Linked DNA regions of Diceros bicornis minor. The protein of the gene in region 2 interacts with the protein of the main gene of each other region in a biochemical or structural test. Links are inferred from orthologs where the notes say so. Each region holds a gene or a part of one and is shown on either strand. Other genes may lie near its edges. The genes, in order: MEF2D and CABIN1.

The links.
Region 1: the proteins of CABIN1 (region 2) and MEF2D form a complex in vitro, tested with the Homo sapiens proteins (2 studies listed by BioGRID). The link is inferred for Diceros bicornis minor from reciprocal best matches to the Homo sapiens genes CABIN1 and MEF2D.

Annotation. Positions count from the first base shown.
Region 1 is NC_080743.1:60,055,515-60,071,313, reverse strand, and holds the start of MEF2D (myocyte-specific enhancer factor 2D), read left to right. Parts: upstream 1-7,596; 5' UTR 7,597-7,990; intron 7,991-12,487; exon of another isoform or gene 12,488-13,407; intron 13,408-15,799. UniProt on the Homo sapiens protein: Transcriptional activator which binds specifically to the MEF2 element, 5'-YTA[AT](4)TAR-3', found in numerous muscle-specific, growth factor- and stress-induced genes.
Region 2 is NC_080774.1:28,582,315-28,598,489, reverse strand, and holds the start of CABIN1 (calcineurin-binding protein cabin-1), read right to left. Parts: upstream 8,193-16,175; 5' UTR 8,152-8,192; intron 7,978-8,151; exon of another isoform or gene 7,769-7,977; intron 1-7,768. Other genes in the region: DDT (D-dopachrome decarboxylase), read right to left, coding at 10,643-10,715, 12,138-12,355, 12,611-12,718; glutathione S-transferase theta-3-like, read right to left, coding at 14,685-14,879, 15,203-15,379. UniProt on the Homo sapiens protein: May be required for replication-independent chromatin assembly. May serve as a negative regulator of T-cell receptor (TCR) signaling via inhibition of calcineurin. Inhibition of activated calcineurin is dependent on both PKC and calcium signals.

The DNA.
Region 1 (15,799 bases), on a different chromosome or scaffold from region 2:
AGCAACGGCGTGCCTCTTCCCCCTAGCTCAGCAACCTCCCCTGTAGCTCTAGTAGCAGCTGCAGCAGGGAGAGCCAGACTGGACCTCACAGGAACTACTGCTGCTGCTGCTGCTGCTACTGCTGACAGAGAATGTGTGGGAACAAGCCCCAAAATAGGCCTGAGTGTGAAACCCAAGGTTCTTTTTTAACGCCCAGGTCCCACACTGACTCTTGGAAAGTCCTGCCATGCTCCCCTGTCCCCAGCTTCTGCCAGGTGCCTTGTTCCCCCACCCATATTGGGTGTCTTAGCCCACTTGGGTGCTCTCATGTGTCTGCCCTTCTCTCTGCCCTGGGTCTCTGGATCTGCCCCTATGGTCTCTCCCTCTCTTGCGCATCAAGGCCTCTTGTCCTTTTGTCCATCCCTTAACTCCACATCCATGTGTGTCTGTCTCTGAAGTCTCTGTGGCTGCCCCACCCTCTCTTGCAGCCCCTCATGCTCAGACTGTGTAACTTCCAATCTCCCGTTCATTAACAGGAATCCCCTCACTCCCCAACTCCAAGGGTCAGCACTGTGATAATCCAAAGTTGCCATAGCAACCATGACCACACCCCCTGTTACCACATTTCTAGGAAAGGCCTGTGGTGGGAGGGGTCACAGAAGAGGCCCCCAGGAGAATCCTCCTTTCCTCACAGCCTGCCCTGGGTTTCAGCTTCAATGGAAACTGACACTGGACTTCTGGACAACCAGAAGCCTAGGCCCAGAAAAGAAAGAAAGTCCTTCCTGCAGCCTTCCTACCATCCCCTCAGCTACAATGTCAGAGTTCCCAAGAGAAGCCTCGGAAGAGGCTCAGCACCTGCCATGCTCAGGAACCTGCCCTACCCAGAACAGAGCTCCCCAGCCCCCAGCTGATAGAGTGCCCTCCAAGGGCATGGTATCCATCTCCGGGTCTGTGTCCACCTGACTTGACCTCTTTACACTCCCTGCCACCACACCTCCCTCAGTCCTGGATGCTTGGCTGTGACAATACTATCTGTGGATTAAGAACCAGGACTAGGGAGCAGTCAGCAAAGAGAAAACGAGGGGAAATACTGTCAGAGTAAAGGGAGGTGGGGTGGAGCATAGCTCCCAGGCAGGATAGGGTTGGAGGAATGCTGAAATGCAGGCACGAGGGAGATTTAGGGAGGGAGGCCTGGATTCTGCCTTCTAACAGAGGAAGCAGGCAAATAGCAGATGGAAGTTTCAGGCAGGAGGCCGGACCAAGTGACCTCACCCAAACCCTGTGGTCTGCTGCTATTGTAACCTGGCGAGTCTCCCGGCTCTCCTGGGTCCCCAAGTAGGAGAGCTTTTTATAGTTCACTCCCCAACTTGGGTTTGAATAATTAAAGAAGATGGACAGAAATAGCAGCTGGACAGCAAAGGCAGGTTATTTTGGGGTTTTCTGGAACACAGAGCGCTCCTGGGCGTCACCCTATCCCTGCAGGGGGCGGAGTCACCATCAAGGCCGATGGGAGATTCCTGTGGGGGAACCCACCCGCACCCCCCAGGGTTCCTTGGGTTGACAGGGTTGCTTTCAGCCAGAGGAGGGTCTCACCGCTTCTTTCTGGTCTTCAAGGAAGGCGGAGGGCTCTTGCTGCCTTCTGCTCATAGCTCCTCCTCTGGCAGGAAGTCCCTCTGTTGTCTGTCAGCGCTTCTACTTCAGAGATGGTGACAGATATTGAAAATCAGATCGATAAGCAGCTGCAAGACAGGCTGAACCAGGAGGAGGTGGCTACTGCTCCTCTGGTCAAGGAGCCGGAATCAGGTGGTAGGAGGTCTTGTCCCCCCTCACCCCTAGACTATAACTATCAGGAAGCTGTGGAGGGAAGGAAGGTTGGGGTGTAGGATGGCAGGCAGAGCTGGGGAGAGGAATTGGTAGAGGAACAGATCAGGCTCCAGAGAAGAAAAGGCCAAAGATAGATTAGTGTCTGGGCCAAGAAGCTCTGAAGAGGCAAGAAGCTCCCCTCTTCCAGCTTCCTTTTAGTGTCCTCTATTCCTGGCAGAAGTCCAGCCTCGGTGTCCTGGGACAGGGTTTTAGAGCTGAGCTGGGGATGTGGAGAAGTTGGGAGGACCTCCTCGGGTCTCCATCGCAGACCAATCATTTGTGGTTTGTTTGCATAATACTTTTGGTTTAACCACAGAGATTAGGGCCTCACCCCAATTCTACCTTGAGGCTCTACCACAGAACTTAAAACCTGGGGTACAGAGGGGGCATTTGTAATGTGTTCTCCCTTTGGGTAACAACTTCAGCGGTGGGTTTGGAGGTCAGATTCCAGGAAATGCTGAAATCATTCATTAATTCAACAAACATTTTAAAGCATCAACCATAAGCCTCACACTGTGTTGGTGCTGGGCATAAATTACAATGGCAAGGTCCTTGCTCTCAAGAAGCTCATAGTTTAGTGAGGGAGATGGCCATCTTAAAACCTACTCTCTACGATTATTGAGCACACACTATGCAATAGATACCATACAAGAGCTTCACAGAAATTGCTCTATTTAATCTTCATAGCAAGTCTATGGTCTAAATAGCATTAGCCCCATCTGACAGTTATTAGAACTAAGATGAAGAGACTTGTCCAAAGTTACTCAGCTAGTAAACAGTATAAATGGAATTGGAACCACGTTTACACGATTCCAAGGTCTGTGCTCTTAACCGCTGCCCAGTGGTCGCTAATGCACGGAAGGAAGATGCAGGTTCGTTAAATCATTAAATGCTGTGGGTGTTGAAAAGAGACTGAGATTGTCTCTAGCTGCAGGTATGTGCTATGCATGCTGGGTGGGGGTTGGCGGTGGGGCAATCAAGGAATGCCTCCTAGAGGAGGTGGCTTTGCACTGGACTCCATTCATGCTACAAAGACTTTAATTGAGTATCTACTAAGTGCTTTGTTCTTGGTGCTGCAGATACCAAAGTGAACAAAATCCTTGCACTATGGACATGCTGGACAGGGATAGAGGAAAGGCTGAAATTATAATTAGGCGAGTCTTAAATGCCAAGTCTCCTTTACTCTCAGAGTTGTTCTGCTCCTCCTGGGTTTCTCTCCCAGGCACAAATACCCAAACTTCTGGCGAATCTAGAGTAAAGGCCTGGCCCTCCTACTCTGGGAAGTTCTTCCTAACGTCTATCCTGCATTTCTTCCAGTTCTAATAAATTTCCCCACCTCCCATTTCATTTCTCTTTTTCAAGGCCAAATCTCACAGCAGTAACCGGGCAGGCCAAAAGAGTCTGGCCCTTTAAGGCCACCTTCTTCCCCCCACGTGCCGTCAGGTTGGGCTGGCGACGCTGACGCACGCGTGACGTCAATGGCAGCTGGCGGAGTCTGGGCACGAGGAGCAAAGTTGGGATGGGGGTGGGGGGCGAGAGCGTGAGGGCGGTTCATTTGCATTTAAAGGGGCCACTCCCGGGTTAGTGATCAGGGCTTTCAAGAAATGTGTTTCTGGCAAACTTTCCGTCTTGGGCTATGGGGCAAGAAAAAGGCGTGGTACAGCTGAAGTCGGTGGTGACTCGAGTTTGCGATGTCAATTATGTCCTTCCGCGGAAAGGGGAAAATAGTCCGTCGGTGCCTGGGCTGGAAGCACGTGACCTGGAGGGGGCGGATGGGGGGGGAGAGGGAAGGAGGGAGGAGCTGGGGAGACGACTGTCAGGCTTCGTTTCAGCTGCCCCCACCCCCACATCCTGCCCACCCTCCTGCAGCTGCCACCACATCCTGCCCAGTCGGGGGCAGGGAACTTGTAGGGGGGGCACTGACCGAGGGCCCGGCTTTGGTACCCCTTCCCTGCCCCCTTTAGTTCCAGGGTGGGGCCTCTGCCCTTTGCCCGGGGCCTGGCCCCAGGCACCCGGGCACTAAGCTTGGGGCACAGCTCTGCCAGCACAGCCTTGGACACCTCTCTGCCTGACTACGCCGCCACCCTCCACCCACTCCCCCTCCCCAGGGGGGGACTTGTCCGAGCCCCAGATCAGAGCCCCATCCCTGGGCTAGCACAGTTATCAGTGGACGAATAGAGGTATTCAGTAAAGTTTTTACAATCTTAACTCGGATACACAGCTACACACATACACATATACAGATTCATGTAACGGATATCTGCTGAGCACATCCCATGCAGGGCCCTGCAAGGCTCTGAAGACCCAAAGTTGAGTTAAACTGCTGCCCTCAAGGAGCTCAAGATCTGGTGAAGAATAATATTGGAAACCAACAATGTCAGTACCATATGGTGTGTACTGATGAGGTAAATACACAATACAGAGCACTATACATAAGTAGAGGCACAGGATGACACACAAGTCCACACGGAGAATGTATACACAGAAGGACCACCAGTACACCGGCTGATGGCCCTTCCTGTCGCAAGCAAGGTGGAAGATGTGGGGAGAGATTGGTGGTCTTGACTGGGATTATTGGAAAACTGGGAGGAAGAATGATCAGCCAATGGAAGGGATGAGATGGATGGTGCTGGGGGGTGGAGATAGCAGCCATAGAGCCATACAGAGGCTGAAAGAGCAGGAATGGCTTCCCAGAGACATGGAATAACAGGCAGGAAGAGAAGCAGCCCTTGAGGATGAAGAAGACCTCTCCAGATTAAGTTGGATTCGGGAGGCTTGGGGAGGCATGAATAAGGGGAGCTGTTGGTGTTCTTGTGCCATGTAAACTTGGGAACTTGATGCTTGTACAGAGGAGTTTACACACACTTTTTAGGACTTTGGTGGGCATCTGTCTGACTCCTAGGGGATTTTATAGCAACTTTGGGCTGTTAGATGATTTTTCTCTAGGAAAGATGGGTTGGTAGCCAGAAGTGGAGAAGGAAAAATGAGACCCAGGTGTCTAGTCTGCTCAGGCATTTTCCGCCTAAGAGGATTCTAGGACCGCTGGTCCAGGGGCTAGAAGAAAAAGATGCAGAGTTAGTTTCAGGAAATGTTCATTATAAACTAACTTCCAGCAGCATTATTCCCTAGATCCTTCCCTGTCCTTCATGGAAATCAAGACCTCATGTTTATAACTTATCCTTTCTCATGAAGTTCTCTCTAAATAAATAAATAAATAAATAAATAAATAAATATTCTGTCTCCCTTGTAATATCAGCCTTGCCTACTCTGTCCTGCACTGTTCTCTAGTGAATTATCATTTCAGCATCTCAGGGTTCAGGACACTCCATCTCCCCTACTGAGCTCTTCCCTCCCCTCCTTTCTCCCTCCTGCTCCTGGCCCTTTAACACCCTCCCAGGTGACTCACCTTCCTTCCTCATTCTTTTGTTAAGGACCCAACATTCCACGGGCAGGGAGGACTAGCTGGCCAATCACAGCCCTGGCAAGCCTGCCTTGGGCTTGAGATTGGCTGGAACTGTGGTTGGCGGGAGACTTACCATGCAGAGCTATAGGAGGTTGGGGAGGGGGTTTCTGGTAATTAGTCCTGGGAAAGAATTTGTTCTGGGGCTGCTTATGTTTTTGGAGAGAATCCTTCAAGTGGAGCTGGGGCCAGAGGGGTCTCTGGCTTGGAGAGCCTCAAAACTAGAGGCAGGCGGAGAACTCAGTTCTCTTGGTCTCCTGCTGGCTTGGGTGCCCCCTGCCCACTTTGGTTTTGTTGTATGATCTGGGACCCAATGGTCTGAAGGCTGAATTCCCAGGCCTGTTCCTAAGAAGTCTTTTCCAGCAGCCTTGGATCTCTCCAGTCTCAACATTCTGCTTTCCCGACGTCGGAAACAGCCGGAAAATAAACACCCTGATGACTAAACGGTTTCTCCAGCTAGAGCCTGGGGAAGCACTAAAAATAGAGGCCACAAGTGAGGGGAGGTTCCCCACTTGAGGGAGGGGGGGCACTTTCCCATCCTGCTACTGCCATAGCCCCAGGCCTGGCACAAGGCTCTGTTCTTCTCCGAGTCCTTGGGGACAGGGCAGATGGCTCCCCCTGCCTCCCCTGAAGTCCTTCAGGCAAGCTAGCTCTGCCTGGCAAGGAAGGCTGACATCTTCTGGTGCTGGGGCCCCATCTCCCAGATCCAGTGGGCAACTGAGAAGCTACATTTGGGGACAAAGTAGGACACTTTAAATCAGGTTTCCTGAAGGAGAGGCCAGGTGGAAGGGTTGGAAACTGAGGCCAAGGAAATAGTTTGCTGGCTTCTGGTCTGGGGACATACAGGACAAGCCTCCAACCTGTTTGCAGAGCAATTCCACTGAACTTGCCTCCTTTGAGGCTTGTATGGGATAATGGGCCTAAAGGTGTCTTTGCAAGTCCAGCCCTTGAGTTATTATAATGCAGAATGAGGCACCATTCTAAGCAATTTACTTGTATGAACTAATATAATCTTCACACCAAATTTATGAGTTAGGTACTATTATCACCATCTCCATTTTACCCCTGAGGATCATGAGGTACAGGGAAGCTAAATAATGTTCCTGTGTTCAGTTAATAAATGGTGGAATAAGGATTTGAACCAAGGCAACTTGACTACTCCAAAGTTGACACTTCTAATCACCATGACATGCTGCCTCTCTTTGTATATATTAGTCTCTTCGGCATTTAACCCAGAATCAGAGTCTTTGTTCAGTAAATCAGACCCAGCCAGATAGAAATCAGGGTGTGTGAAGAACTGAGTGCCCTTCTGTTCTGCAAGGTTCTTTGAGATCTAAGCCAGATTCCATCATTTCCTCAAGCTCCAGGTAGAAAGCAGCAGGACTTGGAAGTAACAGTAATGCTGGAGAGCAAATGTGACGGGACATTTATTCAGTAGGCTGGCCCCTAAACTCCTGTTGTAGGACACATAAAGATTCACCACACCTTGGGGCAACCAGGAATTTCTAAATTTTACATTTTTTGTAAAGAGCTACTACTGCTTCTGTAACAAAATGCTTTTGGGCGTTTCCTGTGCTGGGGCAAATTAGGGTCCCGCCCCTTTAAATTGCCCCCCTCGGCTGTAAGTGCTCTGGGGCCCGCAGGCACTGGGGATTAGGTCACCCAAGAAGTATGAGCTGTAGCTTTAAATTGCTGGGCGTCTGCCGAGCCGGGCCCGGGGAGGGGAGGGGTCCTGTCACAGGTAGAGGGAGCAAACGAGCTCCCCAGGTAACTCCCCAGGAATGAACGTGTCCCTTTAAGTGGGGCTTCGGCACACATTAAGTGGGGGAGATGGAATCTTTTCACCACTTAGCGTCTACCCTCAATTTATCTACTTAGACTCCCACCTCCCAACTCTCCGGGGGCCTGGCGGGAGGGGGGTGGGGATGTCGAGGTAACGTGTGTCTGTGAGAGTGTGCGCGCAGCCCGCGGAGCCTCCCCAGAAAGGACCTCCTTGAGCGCGTGGTGGCAGCAGTGTTAGGCGGCCGTCCGGCGAGCTCGGAAGGGCTCCACGGGCGCAGGCCGATCCCTTTAAAGGCCTCTGGGTCTCGCCTCGCTACTTCGCCTGGCTCCGTCCCTTCCTCCCTCCCTCCCGTCTGGCGGAGGGATCTGCCGCTCCCGGCGCTGCAGCCTAGCTTTGGAGGGCGGTGGGGTGGGGGCCGACCCGGCCCGGCCCGGCCGGCCCCAGGGAAGCGAGGGGCGGGGCCGCGTCCCCAGGACCGCCCCTGCTCCGGCCCCGCCCCTCCGCCCCCACGGGTTCCTCCCATTGGCCCCCCCACCTGTCCATCACCCCCGTTCCCCCACCCCTCAAGCTAGGCTGAGCTGTGCCTACGTCGGCCTCGACTCCTGGGGGCTGGAGGAGTTACCTTTGGAGCCCGAAAGGAGGAAGGAAGCAAAATATCAACAACAGCCGAGGCGGGTCGGGCGCTCGGCCCCGGTCCCCTGCTTGCCCGCCGCCCGCCTGCTCGCCCCCGCGCCCACGACGGGGGCCCAGGCCCCCCGGCGCCGCCCAGGGCCCGCGCGGACGCCGGCCTCATTTATTATTCCCCCCGCCCGGATCTGCGGCTTCCCAGTGTTGAAGATCTCTCGGACCAGGGGCGAGGTCTACCCCCTACCAGCTGTGACACCCCCCTTCCCCCAGCGGGGCCGGTGAGTAGGGAAAAATAATGCGCCTGCCGCTTTAAGAGGCCCCCTCCCCCACCCCGTCCTGGGGTTGGGGTGGAGGGTGGTCTAGACCGTCCCCCTGAGGGGTGGGATGGGGTGGCCTCCTAGGCTGGGAGGAACTCGCGGAGCGGGCTGTGTTTTCGTGTGGCGTTGGTGGGAGATTACATGGGGACTGTTTGTGTTAGGGAGTCGGCTGTGGGGGACAAGTGAAGTGGGCTGTAATTCTCTTAGGTGTTGGGGTCGGGGTGGGCTTGGGGGCGCGCTGGTCTGTTGGTGTCTAGGGGTTATGACGGCCTCCGAGTGGTCTGGGAAGGGGCGCCATCCTCAGAGGGGGTCTCCGGTGACAGCCAGGAGCGACTGACATTTTAACAGCCGGCCCTCCCTCCCTCTCCCTCTTCGCGCCGCCTGTTCCCTCCTCCTTGGCCCGAAATGGTGCAGAAGGGGGCCTGGGAGGGCGGCGGGAGGGTGGGGGCGGGGGGAGCCGCAGCTGTTTGGGAAGCGGGGGAGGGAGGGGGGATGTTGTTCAGATGACACCGGGGTGGTGGGTTGGGGTGCGTGAGTGTGTGTGTCCGGGGCCCCGGGTTTGCCGGGTGCCTGTGAAGTTGGGACGCGGAGTCACCACGGAGGTGGACACGCAGGACCCTTCCTTGGGATCTCTTAGCCTGCTTCCGAGACCCTTGATCTGGTTTGTCAGCAGCCCCAGCTGAAGAACCCCCGGCCAGAAGTTTGCAGCTGTTCAGCATCTGGGCAAGAGTTCTCCGGCCCCTCTCTCCACCTTTGGCAGGCTGAACTGGGCCAAGAGTGGGGGTCTGGGGAATGTTGGAGGGGCTTTGGGGGAGGGAGGGCCAAGAAGACTAGAATGCATCTAGTCCCTCACCCCAGTGCCAGCCCACATTCTATCAGGTTTGGGTCTTACAGGGTTTGGGGAAAGGGTCTCCCTCCCTCTAGTAATTCAGACTGACCTCTCAGCAGATTCCTGAGGTCTCTCCCCATAAAGGAGGGCTGCTGGGTGTGGGCACACTTGGAGCCACTGACTAGGTTATCCCAGGTTTGTCCTTCTGAGTGGGAGGTTCTCTCTGCCTCCCCTTAAGCAGTGCATTGTTGATGGGTTGGGGGAGGGCACAGTGGGTGGATCCTGTTTCTCCTACCCTGTGCCCAGCCCCACTCTTGAGGTCTCCTTGTAGGCCTGGTTTCTTTGGTTTGGGGGAAATCAAACGCCCCTCTCCCCTCTCCCTTCATTGGGTCTCCTAGGCAGTTCAGGGGCCAGCCTGGACTATGGGAAGTTCACCGTCTGGGGCGGTGACCTTGGGCTGTTCTGGCCTGGAGATAGGAGGGGAGCTCAGGCCAGCACGAGATTGGGTGTTTTGAAGTTTGGGAGCTGTTCACCTCCCACTCTCCTCCAACCCCCCAACAGGGAAGTCTTAGTGACCAAGGAGAGCATTGAAAAGGCACATGTTAGTGTTCACAGATGTCTGCCTGCCTGTGGCCACTGGGTCACACCCGCCCCAGGACTTAGCCTGGCTGTCCCAGCTCCCACGGCCTGCCTGGGAATGAATTTCCTTCCTGTGGTTTCCCAGTGTGTGGGGCAGGAGATGGGGGTGGGGTGGGATCAGTGTGAGGGTTGCTGAGGACCCATTTGTATGGGGTGATTGGGGGACACTGGAGCTTATGTATAGCTCTTTCCCCACTTCCCCCACACAGGCATTTGGACCGTTGGGTCTCAGTGGTCATATTTTCTTTGTTGTAACTCCTCTACTCTGCCAGCACATCTCATATGTGTTTGTATATGTGTATGTAAGTGTATGTATGTGCATGTACATTTGTAGGGGGAGGAGTCTGGGGAAAGGAGGAGCTTTCCCTCATGCTCCTTTAGATACCAGAGAAGTCGAGCTTTTTACCTGAGATCACACAGCAAATCTGTGTTAGAGCTTTAGTCCCACTGCCACTAGTCTTTCAGGCACAGCTTCATAGTAGGAAGAGACCGTAGGAAGGAAGACACAATCCTTGCTCTTGGAGGCCTTGGTCCAAGGGGAGAAGCAGGACCCAGTCAGAGAGCATCATAACCCTTGTGTTGGGGGATGGGCATGGGAGATTAGGCTGGAGCTTCTGTCTGCTGTACCCAAGGCCTGGAACAGAGTGGCAGAGGACTTGGAAGGGTAGCGAGCGCTGACCATTGTCCACCTCACTCTGTATCTGCTGCCCCTGGGCTGAAGGGGCCTGGGCGTCCCAGTTCTGCCCTGCTTGGCTCCTGGCTCATCTTATAGGCTGGGAGATATGATAGTCTTTCTGGCTGCTGTTATATAATCTCTCTCCAGCAGGTTTTTTTTTTTTTTAATCTTCTCTGGGTCTTTCCTGGGAGGTGTGATGAGGGGAGAAGGTGGAGGGTAAACTCCCCAGGTTGGGGGCTAGAGGACTAGTAGCAAAGAGGCTGGGATAGACCCCCTGGTCCCTGAGAGGTAGAGGGGAGAGGAGGCCTTGGAGTTAGACCGTGACTGATTGTGACCTAGCCCCTCCCACCCTCTTCCTCTGACCCTGCCCTGGGAAGGTCTCTCTGATGTGGGCATCCCTGGCCTTGTGCCCTCAGAGAGGCCTGCCCCTCTGCTCATGCTGTCAACCTTCACCTTCTGGCCAGCGGGGCCCCCTGCCCTCCCTGTTTGGCACTGGGTCCGGAATCTCAGTGCTTACCCTGGCCTGGTGTGGGTGGGCCCTGTGTTGAACACTCTGCCACCCAATTCTGTACCTCTGCGGGTGCAAGGGGAGGCAGGGATAGATGAGTGGGTCCAGCATTTCCCTAGTTGTATTTGGAGCCAGGCCCCTGCTTCTCTGCCCCTCTAGTCCAGAGGGTGGTGGCCTTATTGGAGAAGACGAGTTGGTGGGGTGGGTAATAGAGGCCTCGACCTCTTGGGCACAAGTCATGGTTGGTGTTCACCTGGGTTCTGTCAGTTTATATGAGGATCAGATGTGGTCCTGGAACCCATCCTCAAGTGTCAGATTCTGGGTCTTGTGGCATGTGGTGGCGGGGTCTCCCCACCCCTTCAGGCCATGGCTGGGACTCTCCAGGCTCTCTGAGGCCAACTGGTTTGCGGCAATTATCTCCCTTTAAAGGGAAGAAAGAGATGGTGGTGGGGCCGGCATAGCCTCAGCATCACTGTAATTGCTGGTGGCTTTTATGAGCCAGGCATGGGGCCGGAGTCCGGCCAACCGTCTGTCCTGTCCCAGTTTGGTTACTTACTCGGGGGGGAGGGGAAGGTGTTAGGTACTAGCAGCTCTGCTCTGGAAGCTGGACACCTTGCTGTGCTGCAGTTGATGTCGCCTTGTCTGTCCACAATTGCAGCAGGCAGGCTGGGGCTTAGACCTCAGGAAGAACTTCCCAGTGGAGCTAAATGGGAGAGAGAGAGATGGCTCTAACTTGGCCTGGGAAAGAAGGGGGTCTCAAAGCACTTTCTTCTCCAATGGCTCTTGGTGGCTTTGCTGAAAGGCCTTGAACCTTGGCCTCGTGGGGATGGTGCTCTTTGGCTCCTGGAATATTTATTTTCCCTTCTCTTCCCCTGCCTGAGGCTGAGAGTCTTCTGGGGCTGTGGGGGCTGGGTGGGGGTCTGTGCGGACGGGCATGCCCAAATGCACCTGGCAAGTCCACAGCATTTCGTGGTGGCAAACACGCATGAAGGTGTGTGGCACATACACACCAGTGTGTAGACACCCACGGAGCAGCTGCCGCCCTGTGGGGGGTGGGGGGGTAGTGAATGGCAAAGATGATTAAAGGATTGGAGACTGGGGATAGGGTGGGGGGACTGGAGGCAAGAATGTGAAGGGTGTGCAAGCACTCTGGAGAGAGAAGGGTTGACTAGAGCAGGAGGGATTGAGGTTAGACCACAGACGGGCAGACCTAGAGTGTGCCTTGTGAGTTGAGGAGCCCCGGCTGACTTGCATCACTACCCCTCACAGCCCCCTCCCCCGCATTTATTCTTCTCTGTGGTCCTGGCCCAGCCTGCCTCTGCCCCTCACTGACCGTGTGCCCTTGGGTAAGTCAGCTTTCTAGATGTGCAGGAGTTTCACCAAGCCTTGTGGTGATCAGAGCACCCCGGTGTTTGTTGCTGGTCTCTGTTGCCCTCCCCACTCACCCTGATGAGCGAGGCCACTCTGAGGTGTCAAGATTACACCTGAGCCCTCAGGCATTTTGGGGCAGATCCCTGGCCTGGGTGATCCCCAAGGCCCTTTGCATCTCATTTTTACTTTCCTGAGGCTGCTGCTACAACCTGTCCTTCCTGGGAGCCTAGCCCTGCTTCTGGCCCGGCGTGGAGACAGGGGGATGCATTCGTTGATTCTGCACAGGACCCCCATAGCCTTGGGGAGGGGAGGCGGTGGTACCTGCCCTGGGTCTTTCTCCCTTCTGCTGTAGGGTGGGAGGGGAGGGGCTTGTCTGGAGCTCTCGCTTGTTGCTAGCCACACCCAGGCGGGACCATATTTACTCATTTAAACTCACCCTCCCAGGAGGCTCTGGGCTCTAGGCCTGGTCACTGACCTTGGCCTGGTGCCTCTGGCGGAGTGCTCTGGCCACTCCCCTAGGAGTTGGGCAGACCAGGGAAGCATATAGAGAAGGAGCTTTTTTTTGGTCAAGAGAGCTTTACCCTCAGGCAGTACCCACTCTCCCTGTTTTCCAGTATACTTTGGAGACAGAAAACTAAAACTTTTCAGGTTCCTGGGGACTGGAAGAAGGAAACTTCCATTTGCTGAATCCCTGTGTGCCCAGCTCTGTACTGCGCATGGAAACGTATGGAGACTCATTTATTTCTCTCCACAACTGTTTTTTATATTTGGGGAGACTGAGTCAGAGATTTAAGGGACTTGCTCCAGCTTTCCCAGTTAGGAGGTTGAGGGAAGGCTCCTGCTCTGCAGGTGGGGCAGTGGAAAAGGAGGTCCAGGGAGACCGGCGAGAAGGAGCAGGATTTGGTGAAGGGAAGAGCTAACCTAGTAGGATTCCCTGGCAGAGGGCAGAGGATTAGGGTTTGGTGGCAAGTTGAGGGGGGATGTGCTTTCTGAGAAGGTATTGTCTTCTGATTGAGTGCCATGGGAGAAAAGCCCCAAAGCAGGGATATGAAGGCAGGAATGGATGACACTCAGAGACCCCTCCTGGGTACCCGTTAGTCCCCCCTTCAGCTACCAGCTGAGATGCATGAGGAGAAAGACTGGAGCGGGAAGACTTGAGCCACGAGAGTCCTGGGCTTGTCTGAAGGCAAGACACAAGGCCGAAGTGAGCCTCCCAGGTCCGGAAATTAGGGAATCTGCGCTGGAAGGAACATGCCGTAACCCTCAGGTGGAGGGAGGCCCTGCCTGCTCTCAGCCCGGGTTGTGCGGGGAAGCACTGTGCTCAGAAGTCAGCCCACCTCTGCCGCTTATTCCAGGTGACCTTGGGCAAGTCCCTGCCCACCTCTGAGTTGGTTTCCATTTCTGTGAAAGAGAGATGCCTCACTGGGAAAGGAAGGTGGTTCAAGGGGAAAATGTGTGGTACTCCACACAGAGGGGGTGCTTAGAAAGTGGGTGCCTCCTTTCTTCCAGACATCAGCTCCAACCCTAAGCAGCCACCCAGAAGCTGGGGTGAGGTCAAGGTCCCTGGGTGGGGACTTGGTGTGGAGGGGGACTGAGGAGGCCCTGAGGAGACCTCCAAGCCTGGGGCTCAGTCTGACCCTGGGATGGGCTGGGGAAGCTGAGTCCAGCCCTGCCCTCCCCAGCCAGCTGTCTCCTTGTCTCAGAACCTACCCCCTCCACACTTCGTCCCACGACTCTTAACAAGTCCCTCTGGCTGCATGCTCACTTACTCCTCAGGATTTCACCACCCCCACCCCGCCAGCAAATACCTGGAGTTGAGGGTTGGGAGAATAAGGAAAAAGAGGGAGCTCATCTCCGAAGCTCAGGGGAAACCACACAGTGGGAGTGGCCGTGGGTGGGCAAAGGAGGGGTCGGTCTCTTTGCCTTTGCGTGGAGTCTTCCACTCCAGCTGGATCAAGTAACATGGACACAAGGGGGTGGAGCAGATGACCTCGAACCTCGAGCTTTTCTCCTTAAAGCACACATGTGTTATGTGTATGGTGAGGGACGATGGTTGGAGGTAGAGCAGGAGGAAGGGCTGATCTTAAAGGGGTGCTCAGGCCTTCTTAGTCACATCTCTCCTTGACCTCTGGGCCCCTTTCCTCCTGCCCCCACAGCTGCCTGCCTCTCTGCTGACTCCCCTTTGCATACCCCATGGCAGGCCTGTGGGGCCCAGGCTGACTGGGTGGGGACAGGTGTCCTGGCCCAGCTGCTCCCTCTTGTCTCCCCCACCTGTCAGCCCAAGGGGTGGGGAGCTGATGGGGAGGGGAGAGGAGGAACCTCTTGGCCCCTCACCTGCTCCCTGGGGTGGGGCCCTGCTTGTAAAGTACAGCAGAAGGATTGAGAGTAGACAACAGGCAGGACTTCCCACTCAGGGGAAGGATAGCTCCAGATCATAGGAATGGCAGAGAAAGCTTGGTAGGCAGGGGTCCTAGCTGGCAGAAATCAGAGGGGTCTTTGCATAGTGGCTTCATGAAAGGGTGAGGAGCACAAATCAAATCAGGGGGCAGGTATTTGCATAGCTGTGTGCAGGTACGCCCCCCCCCCCCGACTGGCCGCCTGGCCCCCTTCCATCTGGCTGGGCATCTTAGCTTCACCTGGCACCTGTCCTGAAAGCAGCAAGCTAATCCTGTAAGAGCTGCCTGGCCGGCCGCCTCAGCAGGCCCATGCAGCCGCACTGCCCACCCTCCCCTGCCAGGGGCTTAGAGGACTGTCCTTCGAGTCAGAAGGGGACCTGGCCGCCACCCTGAGCGGCCCCTTTAAATCCTGCGTGGCTTCCTGAGGTCATGATGTCTCTAGGAGGATTTGCTTTCCCTGATTGGATTGGCCTCCTTCGCCCCCCTGGCTGTAATTGTGCCTGGACACATCACATTCTGAGCCTCCACCTTCCCTTCCATCAGAATTGGTGCTGGCCTGTCTGAAGACCCAGGCCTCAGGCCCCCTGCCCTCTCTCCTTGTCCTCACTTCCCAGCAGCCAGGGCTCGGACCCCCTGTATCTGCTTCAGCCAGAGCAGCCCTGCCCCTGTTCTGTGGGAGGGAAGAAGGGATCTTGCTCTTTAAATAAGGGGTGAAACCACTGGCCTGGAGGAGAAGGCCCTTCTGAGACTGTCTACTGCCTGCTTTTCTCCACTTTTTCCTCTTCATCCTGCTCTTCCTTTGGCCAGGGGCCCACACTCCCTAGTTACCCCATGCCCTCATTTCCATGGGAAGTCCCTCCCCTGATCTAACCATTAGCCCACCTGCTGCAGTGGCAAGTAGCCCAGACCCAGCACTAGTGGCATTATGCTCACCCCAACGGCTCTCAAGCTGACCCGCCCCCAAGGCCCCAGCTGCCACTTTCACTTCTGTCTCCTGAGACCCCAGAGGGAAGTTGGGTGGGGAGGTGGAAGGTGACACACTAACCGTCCCAACCGCCCCCACCTCTCCTCAGCCAAGGCTTCGGATGGCCAGGGGCCCCTGTCCACCACTCTCATCTAGAGGCCTGAAAGTAGGTTAGGTTGCAGTATTAGAGTTGGCTACAGTAGGAGGGATGGTGGTTAGATAGCAGGAATGACTTCCCAGGATAGGAGACCACTGCCAGGCTTCATTGTTTCAGAGGGTGTGGCTGGAAGTGTAGATACTACACCTGGACAAGCGGAGGTCCGCTTGACCTCTTCAGGGTAGGCAGGGGACTGGTTGTCTTCCAGCTCCCCTTGGTTGGAGTGTAGT
Region 2 (16,175 bases):
TCAACATCACTAGTCATCAGGGAAATGCAAATTAAAACCAGGATGAGGGGCCAGCCTGGTGGCGTGCTCCGCTGCGGCGGCCCGTGGTTCGCCGGTTCAGATCCCGGGCACGCGCCGACGCACCACTTGTCAAGCCATGCTGTGGCAGCGTCCCATATAAAGTGGAGGAAGATGGGCACAGATGTTAGCCCAGGACCAGTCTTCCTCAACAAAAAAAGAGGAGGATTGGCAGATGTTAGCACAGGGCTGATCTTCCTCACAAAAAGAAAAAAGAAACAGAAAAACAGGATGAGCTACTGTTACACACCTATTAGAATGGCCACACTGTTTAAAAAATTGATAATGCCAAGTCCCAGTGAGAATACAGAGCAACTGGAACTCTAATACACTGCTGACAGGAATGGGAAATGGTACAGCCACGCTGGAAAATAGCTTCTTATAAAGTTCAACTTACACTTACCATACGACACAACAACCTCACTCCTATCCTACCCCAGAGAAATGTTCACACGAAACTTATATATAAATGTTTATAGCAGCTCCATTCAAATCATCAAAAAGTGCAAACACACCAAACATCCTTCAACAGGTGAATGGATAAACTGTTGTGATATATCATATAAAGGAAAACTGCTCAGTAAGAATACCGCTTACATAGGCCAGCCCTGGTGGCCTAGTGGTTAAGTTCGGTGTGCTCTGCTTTGGCGGCCAGGGTTTGGTTCCCAGGTGCAGACCTACACCGCTTGTCTACCAGTGGCCATGCTCTGACAGCAGCTCACATATAAAATAGAGAAAGATCGGCAACAGATGTTAGCTCAGGGAGACTCTTCCTCAGCAAAAAAAAAAAAGAATACAGCTTATACAATGGAATAGTACTACCAATTAAAAGGAACCGACAGGAGCCGGCCCCGTGGCTTAGCGGTTAAGTGCGTGCACTCCGCTGCTGGCGGCCGGGGTTCGGATCCCGGGCCCGCACCGACGCACCGCTTGTCAGGCCATGCTGTGGCGGTGTCCCACACAAAGTGGAGGAAGATGGGCACGGATGTTAGCTCAGGGCTGATCTTCCCCACAAAACAAAAATAAAAGGAACCAACAATTGATACACGTAACAACTTGGATAAATCTCAAAGGTGTTTTGCTGAGCGAAAGAAGCCAGTCTCCAAAGGTTCCATACTGTATGATTCCATTTACATGACATTCTTGAAAAGACAAAACTATAGTGAAAGAGAACACGTCAGTGGTGGCCAGGGGTAGGGAACAGTGTCTATGATGGGGTAGCATAGGGGTATTCTGGGGTGTGATAGAACTGTTCTGTACCTTGATTGTGGTACTGGTTACACAAATCTATACACATGTTAAAAGTCATAGAACTCTACACCCCAAAAAAGGTCAAATAATTTAACTCATTAAATTAAATTTAATAAATATAAAAATATTTTAATAAAAATAAATACAATATTTTAAAAGAGTGCAGGGGAGCGATCTAGCTATCAGACAAAGTATAATTCAAGCCCAAAAGTATGAAATGTGACAAAAGGGGCAATTCACACCGAGATATAACACTTCACATACACCAAATAACAGAGCATCCAATTTTAAGAAGCAAATACCACAAGAGATGCAAGCACACATAGACAGAAACACAGTAATAAGAGACTTTCATTCGCCACCCTCAGTACAAGACAGATCAAGTGGAGAAAAAATAAGGAGACAGAAGATCTGAACAAGAAAACAAATAGAGCAGAACTTAGGGATGTGTATCAAACTACACCCTACTAAGAAAGTCTACGTGTTCTTCTCCAGTGCTCACAGCAAATCCACAAAAAAAACTGATCGTGTATTAGTTCACAAAGAAAACACCTTCTATAAAGGAAAAATATTAAAAACAACACTCCCTGAACACAATACATTAAATCTAGAATTTACTAACACCATCATCACCAACAGCAAAAGAAAGGTCCTTCTATCTAAAAATTTAAGAATCTCCTATTAAACAACTTCTGGGTGAAAGGAAATGCAACTAAAATTGGAGAAATCTGAAGAAATACTAACAATGAAAACACATATCACACATGTGAAAATACAATGAAATCATTTAAGGGGCAAAAAAATCACATGATTATCTCCGTAGAAGAGAAAGCCTCTGACACCCAAGAAAACAGAAATTGAGGGATACTTTCTCAACAAGGTAAAATATATATACCTTAGTCCTAAAACCAAAATCTTATTTACTGGAGAAACACTAGAGGTATTTCCATTAATATCAGCAACAAAGTAAGTTACCCATCATGTCTGCTACTACCCACCACTGTACTAGGAGTATTAGCACTGCAGTTAGAAAAGGGACACCAATTAGAGGAATAAGAACGGGTAACGAAGAAGTAAAACTAGCATTAACTGCAGATAATATGATAGAGTACCTGGAAAACCCCAAAATCAATGATAAAACAATAATAAAAGGACTCAGTCAAGTAACACAATATAAAATTAACATACGAAAATCAACAGCCTTCACATACACAAAGAGAAGACATTATGGTGAGAAAAATACCATTTGCAATAGCAACAAAATAATTAAGCACTTAGGAATCAAGTTAACAGAAATGTGCAACCTACGCAAGGAAAATTTAAAAACGCTACTGAAAGATACTAACATAAACTTGAACAAGTAGAAAGACATCCTCTGTTCTTGGACGGGACTCAACATTATCAAGATGTCAGTTCTCCCTAACTTAATTTATGAATTCAATGCAATCCCAATAAAAATACCAACAAGACACTAGACAAGATGACACTAAATTTCATATAGACAGACAAAAATGTAAGAATAGCTAGGAAAACAGTGAAAAAGAAAAGCTACAAGAGGGGATGAGCCCGACCGGACATTAAAACATACCATATAGGGCCTTAATAATTAAAACAGCGGTACTGGTACATGCACAGACAGAGAGAACTGGTCCAGAATTAGACTCAAGTATATATGGAAATTTAAAATATGGCAAAGGTGGCATCTCAAATCACTGGAATCAAGATGAACTTTGTAACAGGTGGTGTTGGGACAAATTAGTAGCCATTTGGAAAAAGATAAAATTAGATCCATACCTCACACCATATACATAAATAAACTCCAAGTAGATTAAAGATCTAAATGAAAAAATTAATCTATACAAGTACTAAAAGAAAACATGGATGAATTTCTTTTTAACTTTGGTATAGGGAAAGTCTTTCTCGCTATGATTCAAAATCCAGAGGCAGTGAAAGAAAAGATTAATAAATTTAACTACATAAAAATTTTTAAAATTTTGCACGACAAAAAAAAAAATCAAAAGTCAAAAGACAACTGATCATTTGGGAGAAAATACCTGCAACCATGTACCACAGACACAGGGCTAATATTTCTAACACATAAAGAGCTCTTAAAAACGAAGGGACACAGCATTATTCACAATAGCCAAAAGGTGGAAGCAAGCCCAGTGTCCATTGACAGATGAATGGATAAACAAAATGTGGTGTATTCATACAATGGAATATCATTCAGCCTTAAAAAGGACTTTCTGACACATGCTACAACATGGACGAATCTTGAAGACATTATGATAAGCTTATGAAATAAGCTAGCCACAAAAGGAAAAATACTATATGATTCCATTTATATGGGGTACCTACAACAGGCAAATTCATAGAGACAGAGAGCAGAATGGCGGTTGCCAAGGGCTGCAGGGAAAGAAGAATGGGGAGTTATTGTCTAATGGGTACAGAGTTTTAGTTTGGGAAGATGAAAAACAGTTCTGGAGGTAGATGGTGGTGATGGCTGCACAACAGTGTGGATATGGTTAATGCCACAGAACTATTTAAAAATAGTTAAAATGGTACATTTCATGTTAAGTGTATTTTACCATGATTAAAAAAAGAGAAAAAAAACCCCGAGGGACAAAACCCCCAAAAATCTGATAGAAAAACAGGGAAAAGATATGAACAGACAATTCACAAAAAAAGACATACACATGAAAACATATGAAAAAATGTTCAAACTCACTCATAATTAGAGAAATGCAAATTAAAACAGCACTGAGACACCATTTTTCACCTATCGCACTGGCAAAAATGAAAGTAGGACAGCACACTCTGCTGGGGAGGTTGTAGGGAAACAAGCAGTATTCTCATACATTGTTGGTGGGAATGCAAATACAGTCCCTCTTGAGGGGAATTTGACAATAGGTAACAACCTTTCAACCCAGCCATTCCACTTCTAGGAATCCACACTGAACATTCACCTCCAACAACATGAAAACACATATGCACAGGGTTATTCACTGCAGAACGGTCTGTAATCGCGCGATATTGGAAACAACCTAAATGGCCATAGATAGTACAGTGAATGAATAAACTATGGTACATCCACACAATGAAGTAATATGCAGCTGTAAAAATTCATGAGGGAATTTCACAGCAGCATTATTCAGAATGACCAAAAAGTAGAAACAACTCAAATGTCCATCAACTGATGAATGGATAAATAAAATGTGGTATATCCATACAACAGAATATTATTTAGCCATAAAAAGTAATGAACTACTGACAACATAGATGAACCATAAAGACATTACGCCAAGTAAAAGAAGCCAGTCACAGACCACATATTGTATGATCCCATTTATGTGAAATGTCCAGAACAGGCAAATTTATACAGACAGAAAGTAGATTAGTGGTTGCCTAGGGCTAGAAGAGGAGATGGGCAGTGACTGTTAATAGATACAGAGTTTCTTGTTGGGGTGATAAAAATGTTCTAAAATTGATTGTGGTGATGCTTGCACAACTCTGTGAATATACTAAAAAGCACTGAGTTGTACACTTTAAATGGGTGATTGTATGGTCTATAAATTATATATCAATAAAACTGTTTTTAAAAATGAATAGGATCTCTATGAACAGATATGAGGTGATTTTCCAGACATACTGTTAAGTGAAAAAAGTAAACACAATTATCTATAGCATGCCGCCTTTCATATGAGAAAGAAGAGGATATAAGAAAATACATGACCATCTGTTCATTTGTGCCAAAGAAACACAGAGAGGATAATCCAGGTTCTAAAGAGATCACTTAGCTATAGGGGGTGAGTGGGAAAGGGGTGAAAAGAAGGGGAGAATGGAACAGGGTGGTAGGGTGAGGAGGAGGGACACTGCTCTGAGAACACCTTTGTGTATGGCTCTGACTCTTAGAACCACAGTCATGTTTCACACTCAAAAAGTAAACAATTGAAATCACCTAAGATCTAGGGGGAACCCCAAATGGAATATACTAACAATGAACCTACTGTATTACAAATAACATAACCACACTGAAGGGCATAAGGAAGAAAAGAACTAACCTAAGCAACCGTGGAAAACAGCAGCCTGACTGGATACTATAAGGCTAAAGACAAAAAGAACTGTGATTCCAGGGTTGGGGCAGAGAAAATACAAAATGAGCCTAGAACATCTTGCGGTGCCAGAAAGTAAGCAAGTGCTCAAAAAATTGATGAGGGTTTGTCACAGCTAACCTCAAGGAGATCCTAAATAGCCAAAGCCGGAACAGTGAGCAACAAAATGATGATAATATTAGATTCTGACCCATAGAATACAATGAATATCCATGGCGTCCATCCTGACACAAATAATAATCAAATAAATAAAGGAGAGAAGGGATAGCTCTTCCTTCAATTGAATTTCAATTAATAAATGTAAAAGGAGAGAGAGAAATAGGAAATTACCTTTAGGCAAACAACACAAAGATCCACAGGTGGATGCTAAGGTCAGTGAGTGTAAATCTGTGAGAACCGGAATTTGCATCCTCTCAAAGTATCTCCCCAAGACACTTACCGACTAGAAAGGGAAAGAGAGTGACTTCACAGTGTAGAAACCTGGCAACACCAACTGAATCAAGTGATCAAGGTAAATATCGCCAGTAATAAGACACAACATCATCTTCAACTCCTCGATATGATGCACTGAGAAGAACACCATGTTTGTGTTGTTCTGGCCAAAAACACACAACGTCACTCCAATCATGAGAAAACACCAAACATACCCAAACTGAGGGATATTAGACAAAATAACTGATCACTACTCTTTACAAGTAGAAGGCCAAGACAAGAAAAGACCACGTAACTGTTAAGCACTAAGGAGAAATGACTTAACGCAATATGGGATCTTGGATAGGATCCCGGAATGAAAATAGAACACTGGTGGAAAAACAGGTGAAATTCGAACTAGGTCTGTAGGTGTGATAATAATATTGTACCAATGTTACTTTCCTGTTCTTGATAATTATACTATGATTATATAAGATGTTAACCTGAGGGGAAGTAGGTTGAGTGACCTATGGGAACTCACAGTATTATTGCTGCAATATCTAAATCTAAAATTAGTTTAAAATAAAAAGTTTAAAAAGAAACAACCATCTGAGATTATGTATTTATCATCTGTAGCAATGTGAGGATGGGGACCACATCTGTATTGTTAACCACAAACCCACTAAAAGGAGCTTAAAAAAAAGCAGCTACTGCATATACATAAGAAAGTATCTACTCATTTCTCGGACTCGCAGCCCAGCAGTTGCACTTTCTCAGAATAGCGCATTCAGGAGTTCAATCTTACAAGTTTCCAAATTCCTCAGAGCATGGTTTTCACGGCCTTAAGAACACACGATAAAGAAGAGCACACTCTGAGCATCTCATACCCGGGTCCAGTGATGAGCCGTGACGTCTCCTGTGTGCTCTGGCCCGGAGCCGGGAAGCCTAGGTCTGCAGCTCAGGGTGGCACTACCAGGCTGTGCCGCTGACTTGCTCTAAGATGCCCCTCTCCGAGTCTCAGAGTAGGAAGCTCTAAACTAGACCAGGCGTCCGTCCACAAGCTAATTAGCCCACAGTTTTTGTACAGCCCAGGAGCACAGAATGCTTTTTACATTTTTAAGTGGTTGAGAAACTTCGTGACACATGAAAATTATATAAAATTCTAATTCCAGTGTCCATAAATAAAATTTTATTGGAAAATGGCCACTCTCCTATGTATTGTCTTTGGCTGTATCCACAGTTGACACCAGAGTGGAGTACACAGAGTCTGGCCCACAAAGCCTAAAATACTTACTCTTATAAGTATGATTATACTTATTATATTCACAACATATTACAATACTATTCCTGGGCCAGTCCCGTGGCTTAGCGGTTAAGTGCGCGTGCTCCGCTGCTGGCGGCCCCGGGTTCGCATCCCCGCGCGCACACGACGCACCGCTTCTCCGGCCATGCTGAGGCCTCCTCCCACATACAGCAACTAGAAGGATGTGCAGCTATGACACACAACAATCTACTCGGGCTTTGGAGGGAAAAAATAAATAAATAAAATCTTTAAAAAAAATACTATTCTATTATTATATTTACAACAAAAGTTTGCGGGCCCTTGAAGCAGCCCCCTCTGAGGATATTTCAGTTCTAACCACGGTTATGAACCACACGGAAGGCACCCTGGCCGCCCGGGAGCCGACCGTCCCACGGCCACGGCCTGTCGTACCCAGGCCCCAAGACTGAAGTGGCGCCCCCAGCCGCTGGAGCAGACACCTGCGAGCGCCGGCAAGCTCCGCCTGGCCAGGCCCGCCCCGGCCCGGGAGGCAGCGCAGTCAAGACCGCCGTGGGGAATCGGGCTGCCCCCCGGTTAGCTGGGTGACTTTGGACGAGTCCCCGGACCTCCCGGCCTCGGTGCCCTCCCGGTAAAGGGCGATCATCACAACACTCACCTCGCAGGGCTGCTGCGAAGGTGAAGGGCAAGGACGCGAGTCAAGGGTCAGCGCCGGTCTCGGCCCGGGCAGACGCGGGATCAATGGCGGCTCGTGCTGTGGTCCCTGAGACCACTCCCGAGGCCGGGCCCGTCCTGGCCCCCGGGGCGGCGGCTCGCCGTGAGGCGGCCCCCGGGGCGGCCTGGAGGCCCGGCCTCGTCGCTCCCGCGCTCCGGCCTCGGTTTCTCCGACGGCCGCACCGAGGCTGCCGGGGGATCCCCCAGCGCCGGCCGCCCCTCAGGCTCGCGCCCCCACCCCGCCCCGGCTCCGCAGAGTCGCGCCCCACCTCCCGGGGGCCGCCCCCAACCCGCGCGTACACCCGCCCCACGCTCCCCGGCACTCACCAGGCATCTCCACGGCAACGGCCCGACCGCCCCGTCCCCCGCGCCGGCCGGCTGCGCGCCTGACAACAAGGCGCGCTCCCATTGGCTGCGGTGCCGGCTCCGCCAGCCAATCAGCGAGGCGCACGCGCTGCTCCACCGCCCGGCCGGCGGGCTGCTGGGCCCCTGCGGGTGGCGTCGGGCGCCGAGCCGAGCGGCCTGAAGCGCATCTCGAACCTCCGTGAGTCTCCGCTGTGTGCGCGCGCTGCTGTGGGCTCGGAGCGCCGGCTCGCGGAGCGGTCGGACTCCCGGCTCCACCGCTGGTAATACGTGTGAAGAGTCGGGCTCGGTGCCTGGCCCCGAGCAGTCGCCAAATGACGGGCTGTGTTATCGTTGTTACAAGCGGGACAGGTGCTCTGAAGGCAGTGGAAACGTGGGGAACGTTTAGAGGGAACCCGGGGAGGAAGAGTCGTCTTCTTCATATTACCTGTGCCTCACCTCTTTCCGAAAAGGATTTGAAGCCCAAAGGCACAGATGCAATCAACTAGTGAAACAAAGGGGGGAAAAACCCAAAACTCAGAGACCCGGGAAACGAGGGAGTGACAGCATTCCAGAGCCGAGAAGAGGGTCCCGCACGGAAGGGTTGCCGAGCGCGGCTTCAGCTTCGGGCTGAGAGACGTCACGCTCTTGGGAGCTAAGCGTTTTGGGGGAGGCCTTCACCCTGTGGTTGAACCTCATAGCTGCTGGAGTCCAGCAAGGATGATTTAAATAGCAATGAATGACATGACTTTCTTTTTGACTTTCAAGACAGTAAAATCCTGGTGAAGAACTCATAGAGTCAGTTCAGTACAAGAAAGCTTTACTGATATGCCAGGAGGTACAAAAATAATTGAGTCACTAACTTTGATTTTGAGAGGCGTACAGCCTTGGGGGACAGGGGCAATGAACAGAAGCATAAACAGATGGTTTCAAAGTTTCATGGATAACATGCAACCTAGGGTGCAGCCTCCACCCCCAGTTGTATCTTGAAAGGGGCTCTGGAGACAGTCTGAGACAGTCGAAAAAACATGAGAAGGGTGGTCCAAACAGCAGGGAGCTGTGTGGCAAGGGTTTGGCGGTGAGAAAGAGTGCAGGCCACAGGCAGAAGCCTTGGGCAGCACGGTATTGCCAGGGGACAAAGCTCAGGGCCACAACGGGGAGATAATGCTGGAGAGGGGGGAGGGCCAGTCCCCACAGCAAGCAGATGACATCCCTCTCACTACAGTGGGGTGAGAGATTTAAGGTGGGGAGACCAGATTGGAGGCTGTTGCCTTATGGTCCTGGCAGGGGCTAGGGCTGAATCCCTCCTTGGGCACTTCAATCGCTCTTTTACATACAACCCACAAATATTCCCTGAGCCCCTCTGGGAAGCAGGACACCCATGTTGGCGGAAGGAATGACTGCAGAAACAGTTGGGACAGGGAGCCAGGGGAAGGAATTCCAAGCTCTAGCTTTTCGTGAGTCTTCAGCAGTGGTCAGGTACAAACACAGCAGGCAGAGGCACATTCCACTGGAAACTAACTTTGTTAACTAGGTGGACTGCGTAGACTGAACATCTCCATCTGGTGTTTCACTGGTGCACTACAGACAAGGATGATCAAACCTTTAACTGTGCAGGGAAACACAGCACCCACCACAGAGTCTTAAGACATGTAAACTCTTCATTGAACATCTGGAAGGAAACTGAAAAGGACACTTCCTCTGGGCTCCCCCCACCCCACCTGTATATTCTCTGAAATGCAAAAGCATGACATGGTATTTTGATGGGGGGGCGGAGATCCCATTCATTCACTTTCTAGTGGCAGACATTGCCTTTCCAGGTTTGCCATTCTGGGACATGGATTTTACAAGGTGCACAGCTACAGAGAATTCTCAGCAAGACTCATGGGAGAAGACGGAGTTTGGCAACGCCCAGGAAAGGTCTCTGAATCCCAGGCTGCCCTGCTCTCCTGCTGGGCACAGCAGTCCCCTTCAAGGGGAGGGAACTGCCCAGACCAGCCCAGGCTGAGAATGGAAACATCTGGTCAGCAGAGTCTGCAGGAAGGCCCAGGCTAGAGCAGGCTGGCAGCCTTCCCTACCAGCCTGCACATGGGCATGGAGAGCAGGGCCTCCAGGCTGAGCCCTCCACCCTCGGATTTGAGCAGCCTAAATACAATACATGAAAGAGCGGCCCTGAAGACAGGCAACATCCCACCTCCCAGGTTCCCTCAAGTCCCCACCTCATTAGCCAGCCCCTCTGCCCAGGATGGCCCAGAATGCCAGGGAGGGGTAAAAGGAAGTAAAGAAGTCGTGTCTGAAAGACGAAGCTCTCTTCATTTATTAGAATGAGGATGGGGAAGAAGAGGATTGTGAGGTCACAGGCATGTCTGCACGTGGGGGTGCCAGAAGCTGGTATCCACCAAGCCCTCACTCTGCCAGAAGGCTTCTGTGGAAGGGGCCGCCAGCTCACAGATGCCCTGGATGCTCTCCATGCCAATCATAAAAAAGTGACGACTGTCCCCTTCTTGCCAATCTGCCAGGGCTCCAGGGGGAGAAAGCGCATAATTATCCTTCAGGAGACAAAGAAAAAGATGTCATCAGCTCCTTGGCTAATTATTCCAAGACCCCTAGCCAGGCATTCCCACCATGGGCTCCCCAGCCAGCCGGCCTTAGCCCCCCGGGCATTTGCAAGCCTGCCTCTCCTCCCAACCCCCAACAGGGCAGTGGGCCTGTCAGGGGCGGGGTGGTGGCTGCACCTCATTGTGTCCCACCCAGGAAGGCTACTCAACACAGCAGCCTCTGTGGTCACTGTATGCCCTGTCTATGGGCTCAGAGGGCAGCCCTCCCTCTTCCAAACTGCAGGCTCCCAGGACACCCTTGGGGGGAGTATGTGTGACCACCTCAAGTTTTCTCATCTGTAACTAGGCATAATGGAGGTATCTACCTCATGGGGGTGGCATGTCTGCATGAGCGGGTGTGCAGAGGGGAACAGAGTTTGTAAGGATCAAATGGGATGATGCCCGTAAGGCACCTATAGGGCACCTGGCGCGTGATAAGTATTCGCACATTACTTATTGTTGTTAGAATTATCGTCTCTCCTCACCTTGAGGACCAGGTCCGAGCACCTCCCAGGAGTGACCATTCCTCACCAGCCTTTCTGGGCCAACAAAGGCTCCATTCTCAAAGGTTCTTTCAACCTTCTCATGCCCTTAGATCCTCACAGGCATGGACTGGGCTCAGGAATATTTTTCGCCCAGGAAGAAACTTTAACCTTGCCACAGGATCCCAGGTTTGGGAGCTGTAGGGGCTTCCTGGGGAATCACTGAATCCATGCCTCTCTATTCACAGAAGAGAAGGCTACAAACCAGAGAGGGTTCACTTCCAGGTTTGTCTGGGTCCCCAGCTCTGCTAGACCCAGAACCCAGGCCTCCAGACATCTGGACCAATGCTCTTACCACTACTCCGTGACCCTCCTGGGAGCCTTACCTAGGACCTGGTTGGGCCACAGGCCCAAAGGCCACAGCCTCAGGACATACCCAGAATTCCACCTCACCAGGCCAGAGAAATTCTCCAAGAAAATTACTCTTGATTTTCTAAGATGTAGGCAGCTGATATGGCTATGGCTTTGTCAGATAACAACATCCTAACCTGCCAGGTGCGGAAGCAAATATAATACATTGCCATCCCATGCAGTGTCCCCAGGGAGTGGTTAAAGGAAAGGCTTCCCCCTTCACAGATGGAAACACAGAGGTTTAAGAGGTCACGCCTTGCCCAGGTGTCATAGGGACAGCTGCAGAGCCAGGAATTCATTCAATTCTGATACCACTCTGAAGGCTGACCCTCCACCAGGGGGCCAGAGAGGTCAAGGGTCAAGTCTTCTGTAGTGCCAGGAATTTATTTTTTCCCCCAACTTTAGGAGGGGCATTGAGGTAGGATCACTATCCCCCGGTGGCGCAGCAGTCCAAGAGGGTCCTCTCCCTGCTCCTACGCACCGGTCCTGGTCCAGGCCCAGTTCCTTGGTGAGGAACTCGAAGAGGCGGGCGCTGTGGCCGCGGTTCTCCTCGGCCGTGCCCACCACACCGATGGAAGAGACGAGCAGCTGCGCGCAGGGCTCGGTCGAGCCGTTCACCGCCATGGCCAGGCCCGGCCGCACCGTCGCGTTCACGCGCTGCGGGGGACACGAAAGAAGCCGCTGTAGGCCAGGCTCGCTCTGAGGACAGAACGGCGCGGGGTCGGTCCGAGACGCACGGGCCCGTGGGATCAGGACTGGGGGCACCGGCCGGGGTCCCTGGAGGTCACGTTGGGGTCATGGCTGGGGAAGGCGACACGGAGCAGACGTGGGGAGTGTGGAGAGCGGGAGGTCAGGGGTCCCTGTCGGTCACGGTGGGACAGCCGGGGCGTGGACAGAGCCCGACCCCTGGTCCACCGACTTCCCCCAACCCGGTGCTCCCAGGCCCACGCTCACGTCCTCGGGTTTGCCCAGGATGGCGGCGGCGGCCGCGCAAAGCCGCTTCTCTAGTCCTGCGGGCACGCGGCCGGCGGGCAAGTTCGTGTCCAGCTCAAGGAACGGCATGTCTAGCAGGAAGGCGCGCAAACCACCACCGCGGAGAAAGAACGCGCGGAGTCCGGGTCCATGTTCCAAGGGTCAGAGACTAGGGGGCAGGGGCGGGGCGCCACGGGAACCGGGCTCCTCATTGGATGGGCAGGCAGGCAGCGCCCCCCGATTGGCTGCCTACCCCGGCCCGGCCGACAACCTCGGCGTACGCGGGAGCTGATTTCCGGAAGTCCTGCCGCCCCGCCCACTCCGTGTAACCCCACCCCCAACGAGGCGTCGGCCGAGGCTTGGCCCCGCTCACTGCGCCCCAGTCCCGCCCCCCCTGCCGCCACACTGGCCGCGGTTTTCCGTCCCCTGTGGCTTTCGGGCGCTGCGGTGTCTGCTTCCTGGCCCACATTTAGATGGAGGTCTGAACGCCCCGCAAACACACACGCCGTAGGGGCGTTCCCCAGGCTCGACCCTAATAACGTTACATCGTCACAGAGGCTTAGCAAATGTTGTTGAATGAGTTGCCATCATTTCAAATTCAGGCAACTTCACGTTCAACGTGGGAACCTGCGCTTCTCTTGATCAGGAGACCTGGTGACACGTGTGGGCTCGGGTAGGGCTGGCCAGAGACCCTCGGGCTCACTGCATCCCTACCTGGCCCCCACAGACGTCTGCCTTTGTGGCCTCTTGTGCCTGCGGCAACCTCGCCTCACAGTGAAGTACTGTCCACCAGGGGGTGAGAGCGAGCCAGGTCCTGGTCGACTTCCCAGCAACGTTTAGGGTACCCTACCTTTTTGTAGGCAAAACAAAAGGTGTTATTTAAAACGTGGACATCTGTTGAAAAGGCTAAACAGGGTGCTCTCATCAGTACTGCAAAGTGGTTTGAATTGTAGATGAAAATATAATTGTGTGGGTGTATATGAACAATTTCAATTACACATCTAAAATTCTATATAAGCGGGCATATTAAAGGAGCCTCCACAGAAAGGCAGGCGGGCGGGAGGCTCTGTCTGGTCATGACCCTGTCCCATCAGCAGTTTATTAGATGACTCAGATATCAGAGGGTCTGGGACACAAGGCAGGTAGGTGGTGACAGTCCTGAGGGGAAAGGACAGGGACAGGTGGCAAGTGTGGGACCCACAGTGGGGCATGGAGAAGACAGTGGTGGGGTTATGAGGAGGCAGGGGGGTTCAAGGCCACTGGGCAGCACCCGGGGGCCAGGAACTAACCTGGGACTTCCCTCCCTGCAAGGAGGTTCATGCACCAGGCCTGCACCCCACCTGTGGGAAAGAGTGTCACCCAGAGGGAGAGAGACCTAGGAGACTGAGGCCTGATTCAAACCTGATTCTTCACCGGGTCAACCTCCATCTGTGCTCAGCTCAGGGGGCGTGGAACCAGCTCCCTGCCAGGACTGAGGGGGGAAGCACTGGGCTGAGGAGCCCAGACGGGATCACCTGACTCCCCCAGGGGCTGGGGAGGTTGGGGAAGTGTCCCTGGAGAAGCCACATGGTGACACATGCGAAAAGGCCCGGGGGGGCACCACGCAAAGAAGGTGAGGAGGCCTCTGGAAGCAGTGGACACAGCCTGAGCCAAGGTTAGGAGGCTGAGGTGGGAGCTGGGAGGGCCGGGAAATGATGGGCTACTGTGTGCAACCTGGAGGGGGTAGCCCGGAGGGGTGGGCGCAAGGCTTTGAATGCAAAGTTGAGTAACCTGTATTTCAGCCTCAGGTCAATGAGTCACCGTGGAAAGTTTCAAACAGAGAAGGGACAGGGTCAATATGTGTTTATTAAAGCTCTCTCCAGAGGGCACATGGAAGTCAGAGTGTAAGGGGTAAGGGAGGAGACAGACAAAAGAAGGAATGCAGGCCTGATGCATGGAGGGAACCGCGGACCGGAGACTATGCAGGATCTCTTGCTCACAGCCAAGGAGAGGCATCTCTTTCTTCTGACGACAGAGTCTCCTTCGTTGTCGCTGGCTCTGCAGGCCTGGCCCCCGCTCATTGCAACAAAACCTGCGCCAAGGGCCTCAGCTTCTCCTTCACGGCCGGGTCCAGTGGAGGCAGGTCCTTGGTCTTCATGAGGACTGCGTGGGCCTCCTGGAAGAGGTCCTCCCCCACCGTGGCCTCCACGCGCTGGCGCCACGCGGCCAGCTTGGGTCGGCTTTTAAAGACTTGGCAGCCGGCGCTGACGGGCTATGGGGAGAGGGAGCCGGGCGGGGGGCTGAGCACGGTCAAGTACAAGGCAGCATGACCTGGTTAGGGATTCTTCTGGTGGACTTTCCCTCCTCTGCCACACCAGTGGTAGGCTGAGGTTCTCTTCCAGGAGACACTGGGAAGCTCCTCAATATCCCTGCAGGATTCTGAAGCCCCATTTTACAGATAAGGATGCTGAGGCTCGGAGGGGGAAGTGACTCGCCCAGGGTCCCAGGGCCAGAAAGGGCAACATGAGCTGGTACATTGGCTCCCTCCCAGGATGCCCCACTGCCCACTGGGCAACCCGACCCCTCGGCACTCACATGCATCAGCTCTGTGATGGCCACCAAGTCAGCCACTGAGATGTGGGGCCCGGCGAGGAAGGCCTGGTCCTTCAGGAACTTGTCCTCAAGCAACTGCAGGCACCTGTCCAGCTCGGCCAGAGTAGACGCCAACGTCTCGGGGGGCACTCGTTCACCCAGTAACACAGGGCCCATCAACTGGTGGGTGGGCAGGCAGACAGAAGGCTCAGGGTCTGCCCCAAACCCACCCTGATTCCTGCTCTCATCCAGTCTATCACCAATCCTTCAGGTTTCTCCTCACTCCAGCCCACCCCCTTCTACCCATGGCCACCATCAGTGTCATCTCCTACCCCAACAGGGACAGCCTCCACCTCTCCCTGGTCCTCACACAGGGCCGCCAGTGGGGATCCTTCTGCAATCCAGTCTGCCCTGGTCTTCTCCCTGCATAAAGCCTTCCATGGCTCCCCACTGCCCTCACCAGAAAAGGCCTCAACACAAGGCCCTCACCAGTGCAGCAGCCATTATCTCCCCACCCCCACCTCCTACTCCACTCCAGGCTTCTCAAATGGGAATGTGCATGCGAATCCCTCTGGGGTCTGGTTAACAGTGCACACTCCTAATCAGTACGCCTGGGTACTGGGGCCCGAGACTCTGCATTTCCAACAAGCTCCCAGGTGATGCTGATGCTCCTAGTCCAGGGATCACCCTCTGAGTAGCAAAGGTCTACACTCACTCGACTCGACTTCTCTCCATTCTGCCCTCAAATGCACCAGGCTCCTGCCCCCACCAGCTTGAGGGGGCTCCTCTCCCAGCCCCTAGGGGCTCAAGGAAGACACTTTCAAGGTTATGGAAACCTACTTTTTGCCAAATGGCCCTTCAGAACAGTGGTGCCCTCCCTGCAGCAGGGCGTGAGCATGCCCGTGTCATGCTCCCTCACACACAGGACACCCACTTCCTGCCGGGCACCATGTAAGCACTCTGCAAATAATAACTC